Schizosaccharomyces pombe: one gene and its partners. Changing the gene in region 1 together with any one later gene gives a genetic interaction. Each region holds a gene or a part of one and is shown on either strand. Other genes may lie near its edges.

Region 1 (10,330 bases):
GTGGTAGAAGAAGAAGAATTACATTTTGTACTATTGGAAGTTATATCTTCTGTGATAAACAGCGGAATATTTTATCAAGGCATTGGTCTCAGCGCTCTGCAACAAATTGCCTCGACGCGTCATATATCCGTTTGGCAATTACTTTCTCCATATTGGCCAACAGTGTCCGTTGCGATTGTCCAAGGTATGGGTAAAAAACCGAACATAGCCAGTTTATTTGCTCAGCTTATGAATATTTCCGAGGGCGATTTTCTTATTCGAACACAGGCGTACACTTTACCATTCCTTGTACTTACTAAAAACAAAGCGTTAATAGTACGTATAGCTGAACTTTCACAAAGTGATGTTGCTACTTTGTGCCTTACCAATATGCATAAAATCCTTGCTTCGCTACTTACTACGGATCATCCTAATTTGGAAGAGAGTGTGATGCTTCTTCTTTCACTGGCCACTTCTGATTTTGAAAAAGTTGATTTAACGTCTTTGTTACGCTCTGATCCTATTTCTATTACTGTGGAGTTGTTACAGCTTTATCAGAATGATGTTCCTCATGAAAAAATTGAAAATGCTTTAAGAAAGGTAGCAATGATTGTCTCTCAAGTGGTTAATGACGAAGACTTGAGCAATAAGGAATTACTTTATGATTTTTTTAATAATCACATTTTGGGTATCTTAGCAGAATTTTCTAATATCCTTAACGACCTGAAAGGAAAGACTTCAATTAATGAAAAGATTAAGACAATTGTCGGCATTGAAAAAATGTTATCTTTATGTGGAGGTGCAGTCAAACTTGGATTACCACAGATACTTTCTAATTTACAAAGTGCTTTTCAAAATGAGCACTTAAGGTTTTATGCAATCAAAGCTTGGTTCAGTTTGATATTAGCAACCAAGGAGCCCGAGTATAGTTCAATTGCTGGTTTAAGTCTTGTAATTTTACCTCCTTTATTCCCTTATTTAGAACCACAAGAAGCAGAGCTAGTAATTCAAATATTTGATTTTATTTCTTCTGACACACACAAGTGCCTACAAGGATTAAAGTGGGCTATCCCCACCAGTCTGGATTCAGCGTGCTTTAGCCTTAAGGCTAAAGAAATATTCTGTTCGCTTCAAAATGAAGATTTTTACTCTGAGCTTCAAAGTATAATTAAGTGTTTAACTAACGAAAATGAGCCAGTTTGTTATTTAGGTTTACAAAAATTAGAACTTTTTTTTCAAGCCAAGGTGGACGAGTTACATGACACACTAAATTTGGACATATCCAACGAAGTTCTGGACCAATTACTAAGATGCCTTTTAGATTGTTGTGTAAAATATGCTTCAACAAATATGCAAATATCATATCTTGCTGCAAAAAATCTTGGTGAATTGGGTGCGATAGATCCCAGCCGCGCCAAGGCTCAACATATTATTAAAGAAACAGTTGTTCTTGATAACTTTGAAAACGGAGAAGAAAGTTTGAAGTTTATTCTAGATTTTATGCAATCGCAGTTAATTCCAGCTTTCCTTGTTACTACTGATACTAAAGCACAAGGTTTTCTTGCCTATGCTCTGCAAGAGTTTCTAAAGCTTGGTGGATTCAAGTCCGCAGTGATTAATAAAAAAAAGGGACTAACTGTGGTAACAGAACATTGGATGTCTTTGCCTGATTTATCCAAACGTGTGCTTATACCATTTTTAACTTCCAAGTATCATTTAACACCAATCCCCAAAATTGACATTCGGTACCCTATTTATAAAGAAAATGTTACTATTCATACTTGGATGCAGTTGTTTTCTCTTAAATTGATGGAGTACGCCCATTCGCAAAACGCTGAAAAAATATTTGGTATTTGTTCGAAAGTAGTGAAAGACCAAGAGGTTAACATTCCCTGTTTTCTTCTTCCCTTTCTTGTTTTAAATGTTATTTTAACCGAGTCAGAACTGGAAGTTAATAAAGTCATTGAAGAATTCCAGCTTGTTATTAATCAACCGGGACCTGATGGATTAAATTCCGTGGGGCAACAAAGATACACCTCATTTGTAGATGTATTTTTTAAGATTGTGGATTACCTTAACAAATGGCTTCGCATGCGAAAGAAGAGGAATTGGGATAGACGTTCTGCCATTGCAAGGAAAGAGAACCGTTATATGTCGGTGGAAGATGCTACCTCTCGAGAATCATCGATCTCAAAAGTTGAGTCATTTCTTTCTCGATTTCCTTCAAAAACATTAGGTATTGTCTCTTTAAATTGTGGATTTCATGCTCGTGCATTGTTTTATTGGGAGCAACACATACGTAATGCTACAGCTCCATATGCAGCTTTAGAGTCCGATTATAGAGTTTTGCAGGAAATATATGCTGGAATTGATGATCCAGATGAAATCGAAGCAGTGTCTTTAAATTTCCATGATTACTCGTTTGATCAACAACTCCTTTTACATGAAAATTCAGGAACATGGGACTCGGCTTTGAGTTGTTACGAAATTATTATTCAAAAGGATCCTGAAAATAAAAAGGCGAAAATCGGTTTGCTTAACAGCATGCTGCAATCGGGGCATTATGAATCTCTTGTTTTGAGTTTAGATTCTTTTATAATCAATGACAACCACGAGTATTCGAAGATGTTAAATTTGGGTATTGAAGCTTCATGGCGTTCGCTATCTATTGATTCGTTAAAAAAGTGTCTTTCAAAAAGCAACTTGGAATCTTTCGAAGCTAAATTGGGTAGCATATTTTACCAATACCTACGGAAGGATTCTTTTGCTGAATTGACGGAGCGGCTGCAACCCTTGTACGTTGATGCTGCTACAGCAATTGCAAACACAGGCGCCCATTCAGCCTATGATTGTTATGATATTTTATCTAAGCTGCACGCAATTAATGACTTTAGTAGGATTGCTGAAACTGACGGAATTGTTTCCGACAATCTTGATATTGTTCTTCGCCGTCGGCTTAGCCAAGTAGCTCCGTACGGTAAATTCAAGCACCAAATCCTGTCCACTCACTTAGTTGGCTATGAAAAATTTGAAAACACGAAGAAAACTGCTGAAATATATCTCGAGATTGCAAGAATATCTCGAAAAAATGGTCAATTTCAAAGAGCCTTCAATGCCATCCTCAAAGCAATGGATTTAGATAAACCGCTAGCAACAATAGAGCACGCACAATGGTGGTGGCATCAAGGGCAACATCGTAAAGCTATTTCTGAATTGAATTTTTCGCTTAATAACAACATGTTTGATTTGGTTGATGAGCATGAAGAAAGACCTAAAAATCGTAAAGAAACTTTAGGAAATCCACTTAAAGGAAAAGTGTTCTTGAAACTTACAAAATGGCTCGGAAAAGCTGGCCAACTGGGATTGAAGGATTTGGAGACGTATTATCATAAAGCGGTAGAGATTTACTCAGAATGTGAGAATACGCATTATTATCTTGGCCATCATCGAGTTTTAATGTATGAAGAAGAACAAAAGCTCCCAGTTAATGAACAGAGCGAACGATTTTTAAGTGGTGAGTTAGTAACTCGCATAATTAACGAATTTGGTCGATCTTTGTACTATGGTACAAATCATATATATGAAAGTATGCCAAAATTGCTCACACTGTGGCTTGATTTTGGGGCCGAAGAACTTCGCTTATCTAAAGATGACGGCGAAAAGTACTTTCGTGAACACATTATCTCTTCGAGAAAAAAATCTTTGGAACTTATGAATTCGAATGTTTGTCGCCTTTCTATGAAAATTCCTCAATACTTTTTTCTGGTTGCATTATCCCAAATGATATCCAGAGTATGCCATCCAAATAATAAAGTTTATAAAATTTTGGAACATATAATTGCAAACGTTGTAGCATCTTATCCTGGGGAGACGCTATGGCAATTAATGGCAACAATAAAATCGACTTCTCAAAAGCGCTCGCTTCGTGGAAAAAGCATTTTAAATGTTTTACATTCTAGGAAGCTTTCTATGTCTTCCAAAGTTGATATAAAAGCACTCAGTCAATCTGCAATTCTCATTACTGAAAAGTTAATCAATTTGTGCAATACAAGGATTAACAGTAAATCTGTAAAAATGAGCTTAAAGGATCATTTTCGGCTTTCTTTTGATGATCCGGTAGATTTAGTCATTCCTGCTAAATCATTTTTAGACATTACTTTACCAGCTAAAGATGCTAACAGAGCTAGTCATTATCCATTTCCAAAAACTCAGCCTACTCTGTTGAAATTTGAGGATGAGGTGGATATAATGAACTCTCTTCAAAAACCAAGAAAAGTGTACGTTAGAGGTACGGATGGCAACTTATACCCATTCTTGTGCAAACCCAAAGATGATCTTCGTAAGGATGCTAGATTGATGGAATTTAATAATCTTATTTGTAAAATATTGAGGAAAGATCAAGAAGCGAACAGAAGGAACTTGTGTATTAGAACTTATGTTGTTATTCCTTTAAATGAAGAATGCGGATTTATCGAATGGGTAAATCATACTCGTCCATTTAGAGAAATTTTGTTAAAAAGCTATAGACAGAAAAACATTCCCATATCATATCAAGAAATCAAAGTTGATTTAGACTTTGCACTGCGAAGTCCTAACCCTGGTGATATATTTGAAAAGAAAATCTTACCGAAATTTCCTCCAGTTTTTTATGAGTGGTTTGTTGAATCTTTCCCAGAACCAAATAATTGGGTTACTAGTAGACAAAACTATTGCCGAACTTTAGCAGTAATGTCAATAGTTGGCTACGTTTTGGGTTTGGGAGATCGCCATGGCGAAAACATATTGTTTGATGAATTTACAGGTGAAGCTATCCATGTCGATTTCAACTGTCTTTTTGATAAAGGTCTTACTTTTGAAAAACCTGAAAAGGTGCCGTTCAGATTAACTCATAATATGGTAGATGCAATGGGTCCGACAGGTTATGAAGGGGGTTTCAGGAAAGCTAGCGAAATAACGATGCGGCTTCTTCGCTCAAACCAAGATACATTGATGAGCGTACTAGAGTCTTTCCTACATGATCCTTTAGTCGAGTGGAATAGAAAGAAGTCGTCAAGCAAGTACCCGAATAATGAAGCAAATGAAGTTTTGGATATAATTCGCAAAAAATTTCAAGGCTTTATGCCAGGGGAGACGATACCTTTATCTATTGAAGGGCAAATTCAAGAATTGATCAAATCTGCTGTCAACCCAAAAAACCTGGTAGAAATGTACATTGGTTGGGCTGCTTATTTCTAGCATTTTACTAACAAAAATTTCAATGAACAAGCTACCCATTATTAAACTTATGATTTGAATCGAAGATATTTTATTTATTAATCCGATGAAGAATTCTCGCTGAGTTGTTCAATTTCTTGTAATTTTCCTTCCATTTCTAAATCGTCGATTCGCTTAAATAGGGCACTGGCTTTTTGTGCATTTTTCTCTCGTAAAGCAGCTTCTGATTGAAAAAAAGCTATATCTGTTTCTGAGTCATCATCCGAATCAACAATATATTTTGCAGATCGTAAATGGTTTTCCTTTTTCTTTCGAGTTGTATGGTCAATAATAGTTTCGTTAGTTTTCATCTTTTTACGTTTTCTGTCAGTAATCTTATTTAACGCTTCTCGACGATTGGCGAAAGTTATAGGATCATCTGCTTCAAATTCAATTTCTTCGTCAGATGTTTCACCCTCACTACTTGATGGTAAACGAACATTTCCTCTTTGCTTCCTCACTAATAAATCTTCGGGCTTGGTGCCTTCAAACGTCGGCGGATCATCAGTAAACCTTCTCAACAACATGGCATGCTCAACAAGTTCATCAATTATAACAGAATTTGGTAATTTCCATAGTGCTTGAACGTCTATATTGTTATCTGATTCTTCGAATCCACATAATTCTAATAATAGACGAAATTTTCCGTCTTTCAAAAGGGCCGTATTAAATGAATCTGTGTCTCCTTTCAAATTCTTCCCCATTCTTTCACCATCATTTCCACCTTCATTTATATATTTGTTCTCGTCAGCTAGCGTTATTAGCTTTCTTTCTGAAATGAGGCAATTAAGTTGAACTTTCAATTCATCTAATAAATCACTTTTGTTTTCATTTATAAGGCATGCAACAACGGCAGCCACCTTTTCCAAATGTGATAAGCCAGGCACCGTCTCGTATAACGGGCCTTTTCTCGAACCATGAATAGAGAAAAGTGGACTTTTTCCATATTCCAGATAATAAAATGTGTCGGTTAATTTTGGGAAAGGCAACTCAATAAAAAGTGCTGGTACATCTTTTAATGCATCTGAAAGCTTTCGCATATAATATACAAAAAATTGTTCAAAATCCTGTCTTGCTGAATTTGTAGTAGAAAAATAGACATGGTCATTAAACATTTTGTCCAGAACACGTAGGAAATCGAGACGATACAAATAAACATGGCATTTTTGCTTCACGAAAATGCGGTAAAAAAAGGAAATAGCCCTATGAATTTGTTTTGAATCCAGATCTTGGTAACATTGAAGGAACAGCACGAAACTATCAATACATCCATTATCACAGTACCTAGACTCATATCTGCCGAAATCAAACAGACGGTCCTCAACGGCTGCATTAGCATTAATCAAGCTGCTTTCTTCATCTTCATCCGATTCCAAGACATTGCTATCAACAGATTTCTGATTTCTCCTTCTCTTTTTCACATAGAGATATTGTTTAGCACTGCTAAATTTCTCAAGCTCCTTTAATAGCACTATAGTTAGCTCAGTTATTGCATCTAAATACCCAAAGGACTGAGTTTTAAAATGCTTTAAAGCGCTATAAACAAGTAAAAGAATTTCCTCTTGGTAAAAGATATTGCTTAGTAGATTATCGGCAATTCTTTGGTAAATTTCTGAGGAACAAAGTGTCATACTTCGAAGAGTGAAAAGTAATTGAGTCATCGAAAGCATGGATGCTTGGAAGGTGCTCCATTGTTTCATTTCAAAGGATTCTACCATTAACCTGTTGTGCATAATCAAAGCTCGTTGGTCAAAAACGGAGGCTGCTAAGCCAAAACTATAATCATTAGAGTAAATTTCTTCTGTTTTTTTTGGTTTAGACGAAAATCTCATGAATTCCAAAAAAAATGACTGAACGTATAATAATTGCATTTTATGAATTGGAAGCACACGAGGATCTTCTCTTTCCAAGTCTTTTAAGAGAGACTGAAATAATGGATTGAATCCAGCTTCCAAAAATTCGACAGCAAAGTTCCTTAATGCAGTACCTGCCTCGGTATTGATAAAGAACGATTTGTTTATGTCATCCTAATATTGTTAGAATAGAATAGTTGAATTGGAAAAAAAAATTTAAACAAACATCGTGTTTAACTAAGTACATACAAAATGTTTTCGACGTGTTCCTCGTTTTCGAAAACGCTTATGAGAGTCAAGCTCATCAAGGCCGTCGGTTTTTATATTTTGGCTAGCAATAGTAAATCTTCTGTCTTCAGTTTGAACAGAAAGCATGGTTCCAAATCTATTATGCCTCGTATGTGCATTTCGTTTCAAATAGCGATTTTGGGTCGACTCTTTGAGGAGTAAGCTATTAAGTTCGGTTTGAGAGTTAGTCAATGAGGCATCAGAGAAAAGGGCTGATGGCTTACAACCTCTGATCAAGTTGTAGACTATTTCTAATATGTAAACATCAAAATGCTCAAATTCATCGAGATTCGAGACCAGTGTGACAATCAAATCTAATATATGAGCTTTCGCAAACGAGATAATTGTTTCATTTTTTGTTTTTAATTCATCGATTTGAAGAATGTTTCGAAATAGTAACAGCACTATCCTGATTATTCCCTTGTCTCTAAGTGTTCTGGATTCTGCGGGAGTACTTAAGGGCTTTAGTAAAACAGCTAAAATGGCGGATAAAACGCTCCCCTTCTTGTAAGATAAAATTGAATTTTTATAATTTGATTGAGCTTGACGCAGATTATAGAGAACATCAACATTTTCTCTGAATGTTTCATGCTCAGTCTCCAAAGGCCATGTTAATGGTACAAGAAGCTCAACACAAGCTAAAGCGATACGCCAGTTTCTGTAATTAGTAATGTCTTTATCCCAGTCAGAGAGTATTGGACATATATCATTAGTTACCAACTGTAAGCTCGAGAGCAAAGATCGAATTTGCCAAACTTTGTACTTTTCATCGACTACTTGAAGATAGCGCTTCAGATCCTTTAGGCAAGCCAAAGCTTCATCACCAAGAACGTACACTTTTTCATCGTCTGAATAGTCAAATCCTCCAATGGCAGAAACAATGCCTTGAATCACCTCATCTAATTCCATTCAAGTTGATTTGTTAAATCAAAAGCTCTCAAGTTCCTTTTTTTTGTATTGTCGGTATGCGTCGATAAATAAACCAAATTTAAGAAATTAAATAAATTTTAATAATTAAGCGATATTAATTATGTTCATGAATAATCGTATTCTTTTAAGATAAGTAAATTTGATTGTAGATACGTGAAGAGGGGTGGTGACAGTAAACAATGAATAATAAATTTTTAAAACAATATTTAACTTTTCAAAATAACTTGGATTTTTAAAAAAATGTGTGTAAAGTAAAACACTTTATAATTTAAATCGCATTAAAATGGCATTCAGTATTATATTATAAAATTCGATAATATGGACTCAACAAAACGAATTTGCTACCTAACTTGTACAATGCATAATTAGAATTTAGTTTCAATAATTTTCACAATTTCAGATGTAGAAATTTAGAGTTTATTATTTTCAGAATGATTAAGCAGCAAATCTTTAATAACAATATAAAGAGATGCATTCTCTACTACAAAATTCTAAAAATTCTGCGTCAAATTCAACATTTCCTCTATTTTGTAAAATTGTAAAACAACGTAATAAATTGTTACAGGACTCATTCATAAAGACTATTTACACTTTATTTAATATAGAATATATATATGATGCGGCAGAAAAGCAATTTGAACGTTTGGGACTGTCACCTACCAGAAACTACACCAGCCAATATAGCACAAGCATAGGTTCTCTATAGAGGTTGCTTGTAAAATCAGCTTCTCTACTTGACTTGGTACATCCAATTGCTGTTGGGGTTTGAAATCCCGACCAGTAAGTTTATTGGACACACGATTAAGAACGGTTATAGCTCTTTGATTGAGTATCTCGGGTTTTTGACGTTCTTCAAGTGTAATTCCTTCTTCGTTTAAGCGTTTCCGGTGTAAACCATCAATTGTCTCACCGAGAAGTGTATTAGGTTCGTTAGATTGCTTTTCATCGATAGAAGGTGAATATGCAGGAGCAAGGCGCCAGTTAATAAGAGGATCGTAAACGAAAGCTTCTAAAACTGCCATCACAGACTCCTTATTAGTACGAAGAACTCGCATAACATGTTCGCATGTTATCCGGAACGTCCCCTCTATACCACTAACTTCCATTGCGTTAACAAGCATTCGCGTAAGGCGGAAAGGAATCTTCTCGGGAAACTTTTCTCGATGCATTGCTACTTCAAAACAATCTCCAAAATCGATATGGATGATATTACCTGTATACCTGTCCAGCATCAAATTGGAAGGATGACGATCGCCCAAACCTAAGATGTACCCTACCATTGACATCACCGCAAGAGTACGAGAATAGTTAGTTCGCCTATTAAGCCAAGCTTCTGAGCTACGACTCTTCAGCCATAAAACGCGGTATAAATCCTGCCCCGTAGTACTAAGTAGGGCATATTCAAAGACTTCAACTTTCTGAAGGAGAGTGAGACGATCGTAATCTGGAGCCATCTGAATGATCAACCTATGTTCTATGTTGAGTAAAATCTTTCTGCTTTCTCTGTAGTCACGAATTAAGACATGCAAAGTATCGCTATCCAAAACCCAGCCTAAAAGGCCTGAATCCGGTGATAAAGGAATCACTGGATACCTTTGGATTGAAAGTAAGCGCTTAAAAGTTTCCGGGTCAGCTAGTAACAGATTGTTACAAAGCCCAAATAGCTGCATAACACGTTCATCTTGTCTGATGTCCTCGTGACCCTTTAAAACATATTGATAATCTTTTCCATCACTGCCTTTAATACTCAGTCGTCTCGGACGTTGCTTAGATGTTATCACGTTGAATGTAGGGTAAAACTTTACAATTCTTATAACAGGTTTCCCGCTAACGTATGTTCCCGGAACAGCTAACTCAAGATCATGTACATGTAAGAGTTTAGGAGAAACGTATTGTAAATCTAATGTTGTCAACTGAGGTAGCTGTTTACGAATTTTCTTGAAAACTTGGTAATATAAGTCCCAGGCCTGATTTAAGTCTGATATATCACCAGTTTGCTCAAAACGGATACAACAATCCCTTGCTTC
Region 2 (4,372 bases), on another chromosome or scaffold:
AATTTCTTCAGTAAATGCAAAATGCAAAATGTTATGATTTACAATCAAATCACATGTCCTAGCAAACCAGTTCTTCCATACATACCAAGGTGCTCTTTTTCATCTTCCGGAACGTCTTTAAATCCAAAATGAGTCATGTGGCTTGAGGTATCAGTATCTTTCGAGCTAGTACTGGTATAGCGACAATTAGACAATCGAGAGCCAGCCAAAGCTGTAGACCTGATTCCTTTCAATCCATCAGCTAAAAATTTAGCAACAGGAGCTCTTAAACGTGACATGATACAGCAGTTTCAAAAACGAATACCAAGTGTAACGGTTTTGTTTATGGATAGTGCTAGGTAGAAACTCACGATTTGAAGGGAATCTGATGCTACCTATATACCGCAATACACTAACATACGCAATTTCCGATGGTAAAGCAAAGGTAAATTAAATATATGGGAAATGATAAGAAAATTGAATAAATATTATGAATCATAAATAAATAAAAGTTCAAAGGCTCAAGATTCTGGAAAGAAAACGCTTGCGACCTTGGCGGAAAGTGCTGGCCCTATTGTTTGAAAACCATAGCCTTGACAAGTCTTATTCAGTAATAAGTTTCTTTCCTGGCTAGATGATGACTTTTCGTACGCCTCAAATAAATGCATGAATGTTGGATATTTCTTCTGAATCTCGATGGCTTTTGAAGCACTTATACCTTTTATAGTCATAAGCATTCGAATAAAAATATCCCCCACGGTCAAAGTAGAAGACTTCGAGAGGACAGAGGAAAATGCATGGTATGATATGTGGTAAGGAGTTGAGGGATCAATTTTTAGAAGTTGCTCTCGTAACGACTCATAAGTTTTGGCTTCTATCGACAAATCGGGAATGACAGCGAGGGTTTTACGTTTCTCATAAAACAGGTTAATTTGCTTTGTCATTTCAGCAAGCAAACTTACGCTGTGTTCAAGTGATCGCGTATGACGGACATGAAATAATTGATCGACTTGGGTATTGCTAACAGCTGTACGAATTGATTCCGTGAAACTTTCATCATAAGAGGATTCCTCCAAAATGTAGGTGACTGAACGTATTCCGCTCTTCTTTAGACGTGCCTTTTGTTCGTGAAATCTTCCGTCCTTAATGGAAGCAACTAAATCATCATATCTTTTCCTTTCAACGACAAAATCCAACACAACTTCTTGACCGCTTTCCATATCCCTTGCAACCCATAAAGCATCTCCCAATTCTAATGATCGTACCTGACAATTGACACCAAAGTCATTAGTCAGTTTATCGATAATAAGATTGCGATCCAAGGGAGAACGTATTTCTCGAGTATCAATCAGAAGAAAAACCGTACAGTTTGAGAATAATACCGTCTCGATTTTTAAGTTAGACAAATTGCTTTCATTTGGTTGCTTTTTTTCTTGTTCCGTCAAGTCAATCAACTGCTCATTGTTAATGATATGGTGATCATGAATTCCGGTCAACGAATCCACCTGATCAACATCTATATCGGTTTCAACACCATCAGAAACTTCATTATGATCTACCGGACAGTAAGTAACATGTAGTTCACCTCCGTGGTCTGAAGAACTTCCTGCTTTATTGATTGATGTAACAAAATTTGGAGGTTGGCATAAAGAGGAATCATGATCATCGGATTTAGAGACAGAAAAGTTTGATACAGTATGTTTCCGTTGAAAGGAATCGTCTACTTTTGCCAAACGTATGCAAACTTCTTCACCATCGTCGGTCAAGCAGTACTTAGAGGGATGACCTGTCTGGTAAACTAAATTTTTTGTGATCAAAGTCTTCATAGCACTCCATGCAGTATAACGCATGTTTCGGTCTGTAGCAGATCCAAAGGACGAATCACAATACGGTTGGGCCATCGTAACAATTTGAGGCTTTGTAGCGAATTCGTGTTTATTAAGCATATAAAGAGCGCAAAGAATTGAATATGCACCAGAACGATAGCTCGGAACATAGACCTTTCTCTTTCTTGTAGTCGGTTTTTTAACGCTTCGAGGCTTTTCAGAAGAAGTCTCAGAAGACGATTTATTAGCATTGACATGAGAATCATTCTGTTCATTGTGCGTGCTAATTGGAATATTATTTTCCAAACAGTAAGCGTTCCATTTCTTTTCTAGCTTGGCACAAATCGTAGGGCCAATTCCCTTCAGTGCCAATGCCTGAGAAGGACGATGAAATGTGATGGGGCAACTTTTCATTGAATCGTAGGCCTAATTATTAGCACGGTTTCTTATTTAAAACAACAACAACAGTGATTGTTATGATATTTATGGAGTACGAAGCTATAAAAGCTTTCGAAAAATTACAGTCATTATTAATTTAATATTTAAATTATTTATTTTTCAAAGAGTTTTTCACTAATCCAATAAATTTCCTACCTTTCTCCAGGTTTGATATGACTTGGGGAAGCGACGCGTCGACTCTTCCATCCACTCCTGTATCCATTGTAAAAACAGCGGATTTCCACAATCCATGGATCCGAAAAACAAAGAAAAAAACTATTTCATTCAAATTATCGATTGTCACACGAAACAAAAGTCTAAACAAATGGATGTGGATAGAATGCGATTTCCTAAATTTCGTGTAAAGACATTAGCATGGTTGCCGGGACAACCGAGATTTTATGATCAGTATAAACAAAATAAAGAAAACAATTATAGGTGAACAAAATAAAAAATCATTATCATCATTATAAAACAGTTTCTCGTGTATTAGGGTATATTTTTAGAAAGTTTGTGAAATGATGAAGCTTTAGATCATAATAAAGCCATACTTGGATGATTTTCTGTTTTCCTAAAAGGAAGGGGTTTAAGAAGATCCCTTTTGTTTCTCGAGCTGCTTGGCAGAAGTATATGCTCTTTGGCGTTCCCATAGGACAAATTTGATAGCTGCCATGGTTTTATTGACTGCAAGTACACGCTCATTTGAGGCTTTGGGAATAGTCAACTGTAAGCGTTTCATTTCAGCCCTTTGTGTGAACAATAGGTTCTTCTCTCGGAGACAATTGTACCAAAGTCCATGTAGATCATTAAAAGACTTCCAACGAAGCTCTTCTGCAGCCCATGCTCTACCGAATTTAGCCTCTTCCGATGGTGGTGGAAGGGCTTGCTTGTCCCGAAAGAAATTCCACAAAGGGTGCGTGTCTGAAACCTTAGGAGCACTTTTTACTTTTGGAACAGGAAATACAAAGCCCTTTGGAATACGTACGGCTGCTTTCTGAGCGCTAGCCAACGTGGACCTCATCTTTGGTGGTAAGTAGAAGGTGCGCTGTAACACCCTGACATTGACCGATAATAATGGTTGTAAGTCATACTTTAAAAATAATTATTTTTTATTATACTTCATTGACTTTCTTAATTATTGCTAAATTGAGAAATTGTTCATTTCCTTATTTTATTTTATTTTAAGATTTCATGGCGAGGAAACATTCCAAACGAAAAGTTTATAATGTAAACAGAAAGTGTGTAGGGCGATTTATGTATTTTCCCTAGATTTGTTATCGAGTGAAAAGTTTGAATCCATGAAGGAAATACTAAAGTACTTTGATTTGCAGCTAATACATGGTGTAATGATACATTGCTTTCGACCGCTTATAAATTTATTTCGAGATTAACGGGACGCAACCGTTTAATTAAAAACGGGAAGTAAAGAAATTTTTTTTGTCTATACATTTAGAAAAATTTGTTCAGTTTCATAAAACAGTAGCACATAAATTTTGAGGATCATCGGTGGGGAAAGAGACAGGCACCAATTTAGGTACCTTACGGTTTCGTTGAAAAGTAGGAAGTAAAGAGGGTTGGAGGTGAGGGTATTCTTCGACTGTTGCTATTTGATAGATGCTACCGGAACGGACCAGTTGACCTTTATTTACCATCCAACGAATGGCCTCGGAAGCGCTGTCGTGAAAAGTTGGTAACAATGGTACGTTTTGAGCAAGCCAGTTAAATATTTCATCTTTGGAAGGTGAGAGGGTGTTACGAATAGCTAACCGTATTAACGTTGGATAGTCGTATAAGGTTCCAGAATTCGCAACATAACTTGCGGTATAGGGGACAGGTGCAGGCTCATCAGAGGGAGCTTCATCTTGTTTAGCATGAAGTCGCTCTTGTAAAGATATTTGTTGGCGTTCAGAACTAACAAGTAGTTGATGCCGAATCTCACCCAACAACTCCCGAGTACGTGGGTTGTATATGGGAAGAGATGGATAAGACTTTTCACAAAAAAGAATAAGATCTGCGAGATGAGGAGTAGGTAAACTTGATAGATACATTTTTTTGTCTGATTCACTTAACCCAAGATCTTGTGCCGTCATTCCCGTTTCTAAAGGTTGCTTGGCACGCCTGTACTGGCA
Region 3 (5,640 bases), on another chromosome or scaffold:
GGCCGGTACTAGATTTGTTTCGCATTCTTCCCCGAGAAGTCCTATTATGTATTCTACAGCAACTAAATTTCAAAAGTATTGTTCAGTGTATGCAAGTCTGCAAACACTGGAGAGACTGTATTAAGAAAGAACCTAGCTTATTTTGTTGCTTAGACTTTTCATGCGCCTCTCCTCGAAGTGTAAACTCTAGAGATCGAAACGTTATGGCTGTTGCTCGATACTCTGTTTATTCAAAAGACAATATACAGGAAGTAATTGGCTTAGAGAAGCTTGGTATATTAACACCTACCAAAGCCTTACTTCGTTCAGTCAAATCACTTAAAGTCTACAAAACCATTTCACCTCTCCACACTCAGTCAACGGATAAATTGTATACAATTTGGACGCCATTTTCTGAACTTCACTACTTTTATTGTGCTACTCCTATAACATTTTCCATAGCTTCTAAGATTTTATCTTGCTGTAAGAAACTCAAGCAGGTTGAGCTTGTTGACTTAATTCCCGATTTGATATTTGATTCTATGGATTGGGATAAACTCTTTAATGCAGAATCTGTACCGCTGGCTCTTAAATCTTTGACGTTTATCCGAAATCAAAAGTTTCCCTTTCACCATAAAGAACAGCAATTTCTTAAAGACTTGCTGTCTGCCAGTCCATATTTAGAATATCTGGAAGCCTCATATCAGTCAGACCTAGTTGCTGCAATAAAAAAATATAAAATTAATCTCCGATCGTTAATTATCATTGATGAAGGAGTATCGAATACTGTTAAAGATCTAGCATTCCTTCCTCAATCTCTTACCACGTTAATTGTGAAACCCTGCAATCCTGCATCTACAATTTTATGTCCATATTTATTCCCTACAAATGTCCGGATGGAATCACTAATCAACTTAGAGTTATTTCTTTATCTTCGTTTATCTCAAAATGATATCGATAATGTTGTCAAATTTTTGACTTCTTGTTACAAACTAAAAAAGCTGGTTCTACACGATTCGCTAGCATTGGCCCCCCATTTCTTTGAAATATTTGCATCTTTACCGGAACTTGAGCATCTTGAGATTCCTGATAACGTTGCTCTTCAAAATAAGCATGCAATACACATTACTGATTGTTGTCCAAATCTAAAGTATGTGAACTTTTCAAATTCAATATCCCTCGATGGATCGGGATTTATAGCAGTTTTACGAGGACTGAAAGAATTAAAACGTATAGATATTATTAATTGTGATTCTGTTTCTAGAGATGCAATAGATTGGGCGCGCTCCAAAGGTATGCAAGTTACCGTAGCTTCCTCGCTTCCAAATTCTCAACCATTGGGTACAAAAAAGATACGCCTAATATAATATGATCATATTGTCTTTATATATTCAATCCTAGTAAACCCGTATCATCGCATTGAAAGGAAGATTTTTAAGAGATAGATCAATCATTGAGAATAAATTAAAAAGCGCGTAAGCTATTTCTAATCATAACTTTGTGTTGAGCTGATAATATTACATACATCCAACAGTAATATCGTAACTCGGAAAAAGAAAGACATACAACTCGTGATTCCAAAAATAAAATAAAGATAAAAGAAAGCAATGAACAATATTACTGTCATAAAAATCTATTTCGTGTAAGTATTCACACTTATTTATAGATCTAATTGGATTTTGAAAAAATATTAACCGACCTCTCATAGTGATGAAAGTAGCATTCCACGTTTAGCAGTAAGCGTGATTTCGTTCTGAATGGCAACATCCTGCTTGACAGATATAACATCCTTCGTCGCTAAAACGAGGACATCAAAGAAAAGTTGAACAGCTTCCTCTCTATTGCATCCCGCACTAAGAGTTTGGAAGGATACTTTTTCACCTTCAGTATAAGGATCCCACTTATTGCGTAGAGAATCTTTGGCTGTTTGTGAACTAGGAAGGGCCTCAGATACCGAAGAGTCCAATCGTTCGCTTCCCAGCAAATCGGCCTCGTCCAGCATTACGGGAGGAGCGTCAAAAAGTGAATCATCGGCTGATTCCAAGGCAGTAACAGGAAATCCCATTGGCGAACCAAGCTCAGGAGCTTCTCCTTCTGGTTGAACAACGGTTTCTTGTGGTAAAGTAGCGATAGCGGCTTCAGTAATGTTGGCAAGCTCAGCGGCTGCAATTTCTTCAGGGTCCAAGACTTCAGCAGTTTCTTGGTTTTCAGTTGAGGTATCAGTACGTTGGTGCTTGGCAGGCTCGACTTCCTCTGGGCTCTCATTTTTTCTCTTTCTTAGAATTGCCTGTTTGAAATCAGCTTGCAAAAGCTCGTTTACTTTAGGGTTCAGGTTGGAAGAAAATATGGAAGTATTAAATTTACCGTTTCGAGTAAAATTAACGGTGGCATTAAACACGATGGAAGATGTATTCAAGCATAACGGTGAGGTGATGGAAGATGTATCTGCCAATTGTTTTTTCATTTGCTTGGAGGACAATTCAGTAACGGGATCAATAATTGCACGTTGACGACGTACAGTTTTCTGTGGATTGATCTTTTCCTGTTGAGGAGCAGTGGCGCTTTCAACAACCTGACCTTCCTCTACTCCTGCTGCTGCAGGACGAGATGAATCATCTTCCATAATGTCAGAAGGGAGATGAATACTTGATGTTTCAGCTTGTTCATCAGCCTCTATCGCCGGAGCATTAGCACCTTGTTCATCTCCTAAAAGATCATCTAAGCCCAAATCCAGGTTTAAATCATCAACAGGAGCCAACAATTCATCATCCAATGAAGTTCCTCCTATTGGTAGCATGCTTGGCGTACTAAAATGAGTGACTGAACTAGCCGGCGACTTAGTCATTTGAGGCCCAATAATTCCACTTAAATCGGTGGCAGCAGCAGCAGGAGCATCTCTACCTACTTCTATAGAAATTTGGGACTGATTATCAGAGTGCACACTTCTAGGTGTAGCAGCACCGGAATTTGAAATGGGAAGATGAAACTGCATATCATTGCCAACATGTGCGAATGATTCGCCCAAGGAAAACCCTGATTCTACTTGGGCATTTCGTCCAGCCTCAATTGATAGCTGGGAAGATGGAAAAGAAGGAGAGGAAGATATTGGTAAAGAATGTAGTTCAAGAGTGTTCGAAGAACGAGAGGGTGTACGAAGAAGTTGAGACCATTGAAAATCAAATGTACTATCAGGTACCAAAAGATCAAACTCTGTAATTGTCTCAGGAAGAGTGAGATTAGCGCTCTGTGTCACAGCATCTTTACCTTTTAAAGATTGGAGAGCAGTAGCTGGTTCAATCATATCAACCTGACCCGGTTGAAAGGACATTTTCAAACGCATCAACGCTTCCGTACAATCCTCCAATAAATACCTAGCCTTTCTGGAATAAATGCGAACAACACCCAACATTAGTTGTCCTGATAGGCGAAGGGCCATTGGAGCGGTTTCCTCCGTGACAATTGCATGGACGCTTTGCTCAATACTGGTGTGCAAAGTTTGCACTTTGGAAAGTTTCTTTTCCCAGTGAGCTGCCAACCATACCTTGGCCAAAGGACCCTAACGCGAACAGTTAGTCAGACGATTCAAAGACAAATTAGCACTGTTTACGCGCTAAAGAAAACTTATAAACTACATACCTTTTTTGAAAGAATGGCCTCTGAATAGAACATAAGAAGCTTAATATGATTAGGAGAAAAAGATAGAAAGAAATTAAAGAGTAAAGACAAAAAAAAGAGGGGAATCAAAAAAGAACAAAAATAAACAAAAAATTAATAAATATTAAAATGAAAGAAATGCTTTCTTTCGCAAAATTCGCCTCCTCACTACGATATAAGCTGGGTATTTGTAAAAATGAATATACGTGGTGCTGGTTAAATGAGTACGCGCTGCGCGTAAATAAATCCACGTTGCCATGCCGACAATGAATATGATACATAAACAAACTAGTATGTGTAGCAACAAATAGTTAAATAAATGAATAAAAAAAGCTTGTATTGAAGTTAGAAACTGTTGAGCATGATCAAGGGAATATGCTTCCTCGAAGAAGTTGATTTATCTTTGTTATATGCTTGTATGTTTCGGCCTACTAACTGTATTATAAAATGATGCGCTAGATTTACGTTCACATATGTGCATAGAAGGCAACAAAAGGCATTTGAATTATGTTATTCAATTAAAATAGTCATAAGACATAAGGGGATATGTTTTTCAATAAAACGGAAAACTCCGATTACAACCTTGTTTTAACAATCTTGAGTTAAATTTTGACCATCCTTATTTTGGAAGCATTATCCTTCCATTGAATACATTTATCAAATGAATTCCATTCATTAATTGCATCTTCAATGCCATTTTTTCTGTATGATTAAATAGACTCGTAAAAGGATGTTTTCATCCCATTTTAGTAATGTCAAAACACATTACATTAAACGAATATGTAATAGAAATTACCACGACTGAAAATTTATTTTATTTCTATTATATTATTGTCAAAATTAAAAGGTTGATTGTGACTCGTATGCCAGAAGAAGGTTAATGAATAAAAATACTTATAAAAATAAATAAATTTTTTTTTTTTGGGTAGGGTGTTTTTTTTTAACGATAAACCCCATCCAGATAAATTCGATAAACAAGCTAATTTATTTAAAAAATCAAACAAAAAATAGAAAAAGGAATAGACAAGAATTCCATCCATATTCGTCTAGCAAATTCGATTTTTCCATTTCCCAATAGTGGACACTGCGCAAAACAGTTCCCGTATGTTTTAGTGAAGGGGAATTCGAGTTTGACTGTTGGAAGAAGGCAATTCGCTCATAAATCATTTTAATAAATAAAATGAATGTATAGCATTATTTTCGCCTCTGCAGAAGTTTAATGTCATTGTTCATTGTTGGCAATATCCAATGTGGGGGAAGGCGTAAATAAAATGAATACGTATATGTTTCTAACCTTGATTCTTGACTTTTCCCAACAACGGTTCACTGACTTTAAAAGAGAAAAAGTATAAATTACTAAAGCAATTGTTACATTTAAATAGATTGCTAAGGACTATTGTCTAATAATACAACAGTTACCTTTATTAACGTTTATTTTTCTTTTGGAACACATTGAATATTAAACTAAATTGCCACAAAACAAAATGACTGAACAGAATATCGATATCAAAAGAGAATTGAAGGATGAATCTCCAATTGGGCAATCTCCACATCTAGAAAATGATGGTCGTCCTAGTCTTATGTCGCGCTATAGCTACTCGTCTATTGAAGAGGTATCCAAAGAGGGCTATCAATGGTTTAAACATCAAAGTGTATTTCTTAAATTTAGCCTAATTGTACTTTTATTCTCGTTGATGTTTAGTTTGACGTTTGGTTCGTTGCTTGGATTAATTAGCCTTGCTTTGGGCTTTCCTAGTGTGGGATATCGTTATGTGCTTCTGCCCATATTAAATGCATTATTGAACCGTTTAAGACTTAATTCCTCCGGTTTGAAGTAGTACGAAAAGCTTGATTTCTTTGGGTCTCCCGTTTCTGCTTTTTGTGTCCGAATTCAAAATGAATCATCATAAAAAGACAGTGTTCTTGTTTACCTGAAAGCGATGAGTAACTTACCCTGTTGTATCTTAGTTTACGACGATCCTTGTATAACGACTGGAAAATAAAAAA

The links. Genes that interact genetically often act in the same process or in processes that back each other up.
Region 2: mutations in swi1 (region 1) and mus81 are lethal when combined (synthetic lethality), as found in Schizosaccharomyces pombe (3 studies listed by BioGRID).
Region 3: mutations in swi1 (region 1) and rad21 are lethal when combined (synthetic lethality), as found in Schizosaccharomyces pombe (2 studies listed by BioGRID).

Annotation. Positions count from the first base shown.
Region 1 is NC_003423.3:906,312-916,641, forward strand, and holds swi1 (replication fork protection complex subunit Swi1), read right to left. Parts: upstream 8,469-10,330; 5' UTR 8,283-8,468; coding exon 7,335-8,282; intron 7,319-7,334; exon of another isoform or gene 7,260-7,318; coding exon 5,292-7,259; 3' UTR 5,215-5,291; downstream 1-5,214. Other genes in the region: ATR checkpoint kinase Rad3, read left to right, coding at 1-5,214; TORC1 serine/threonine protein kinase Tor2, read right to left, coding at 8,960-10,330. UniProt on the Schizosaccharomyces pombe protein: Forms a fork protection complex (FPC) with swi3. FPC coordinates leading and lagging strand synthesis and moves with the replication fork. It is required for programmed fork-pausing which is necessary for mating-type switching.
Region 2 is NC_003421.2:460,843-465,214, reverse strand, and holds mus81 (Holliday junction resolvase subunit Mus81), read right to left. Parts: upstream 2,496-4,372; coding exon 2,400-2,495; exon of another isoform or gene 2,391-2,399; intron 2,234-2,390; exon of another isoform or gene 2,232-2,233; coding exon 501-2,231; downstream 1-500. Other genes in the region: coq5 (C-methytransferase), read right to left, coding at 86-278; mrpl4 (mitochondrial 54S ribosomal protein uL29m), read right to left, coding at 2,830-3,264; PHD finger domain-containing protein Phf1, read right to left, coding at 3,713-4,372.
Region 3 is NC_003421.2:1,341,100-1,346,739, reverse strand, and holds rad21 (mitotic cohesin complex non-SMC subunit Rad21), read right to left. Parts: upstream 3,848-5,640; 5' UTR 3,649-3,847; coding exon 3,616-3,648; exon of another isoform or gene 3,536-3,615; coding exon 1,682-3,535; 3' UTR 1,347-1,681; downstream 1-1,346. Other genes in the region: F-box protein Pof3, read left to right, coding at 1-1,346; SPOM_SPCC338.18 (uncharacterized protein), read left to right, coding at 5,118-5,471. UniProt on the Schizosaccharomyces pombe protein: Cleavable component of the cohesin complex, involved in chromosome cohesion during cell cycle. The cohesin complex is required for the cohesion of sister chromatids after DNA replication.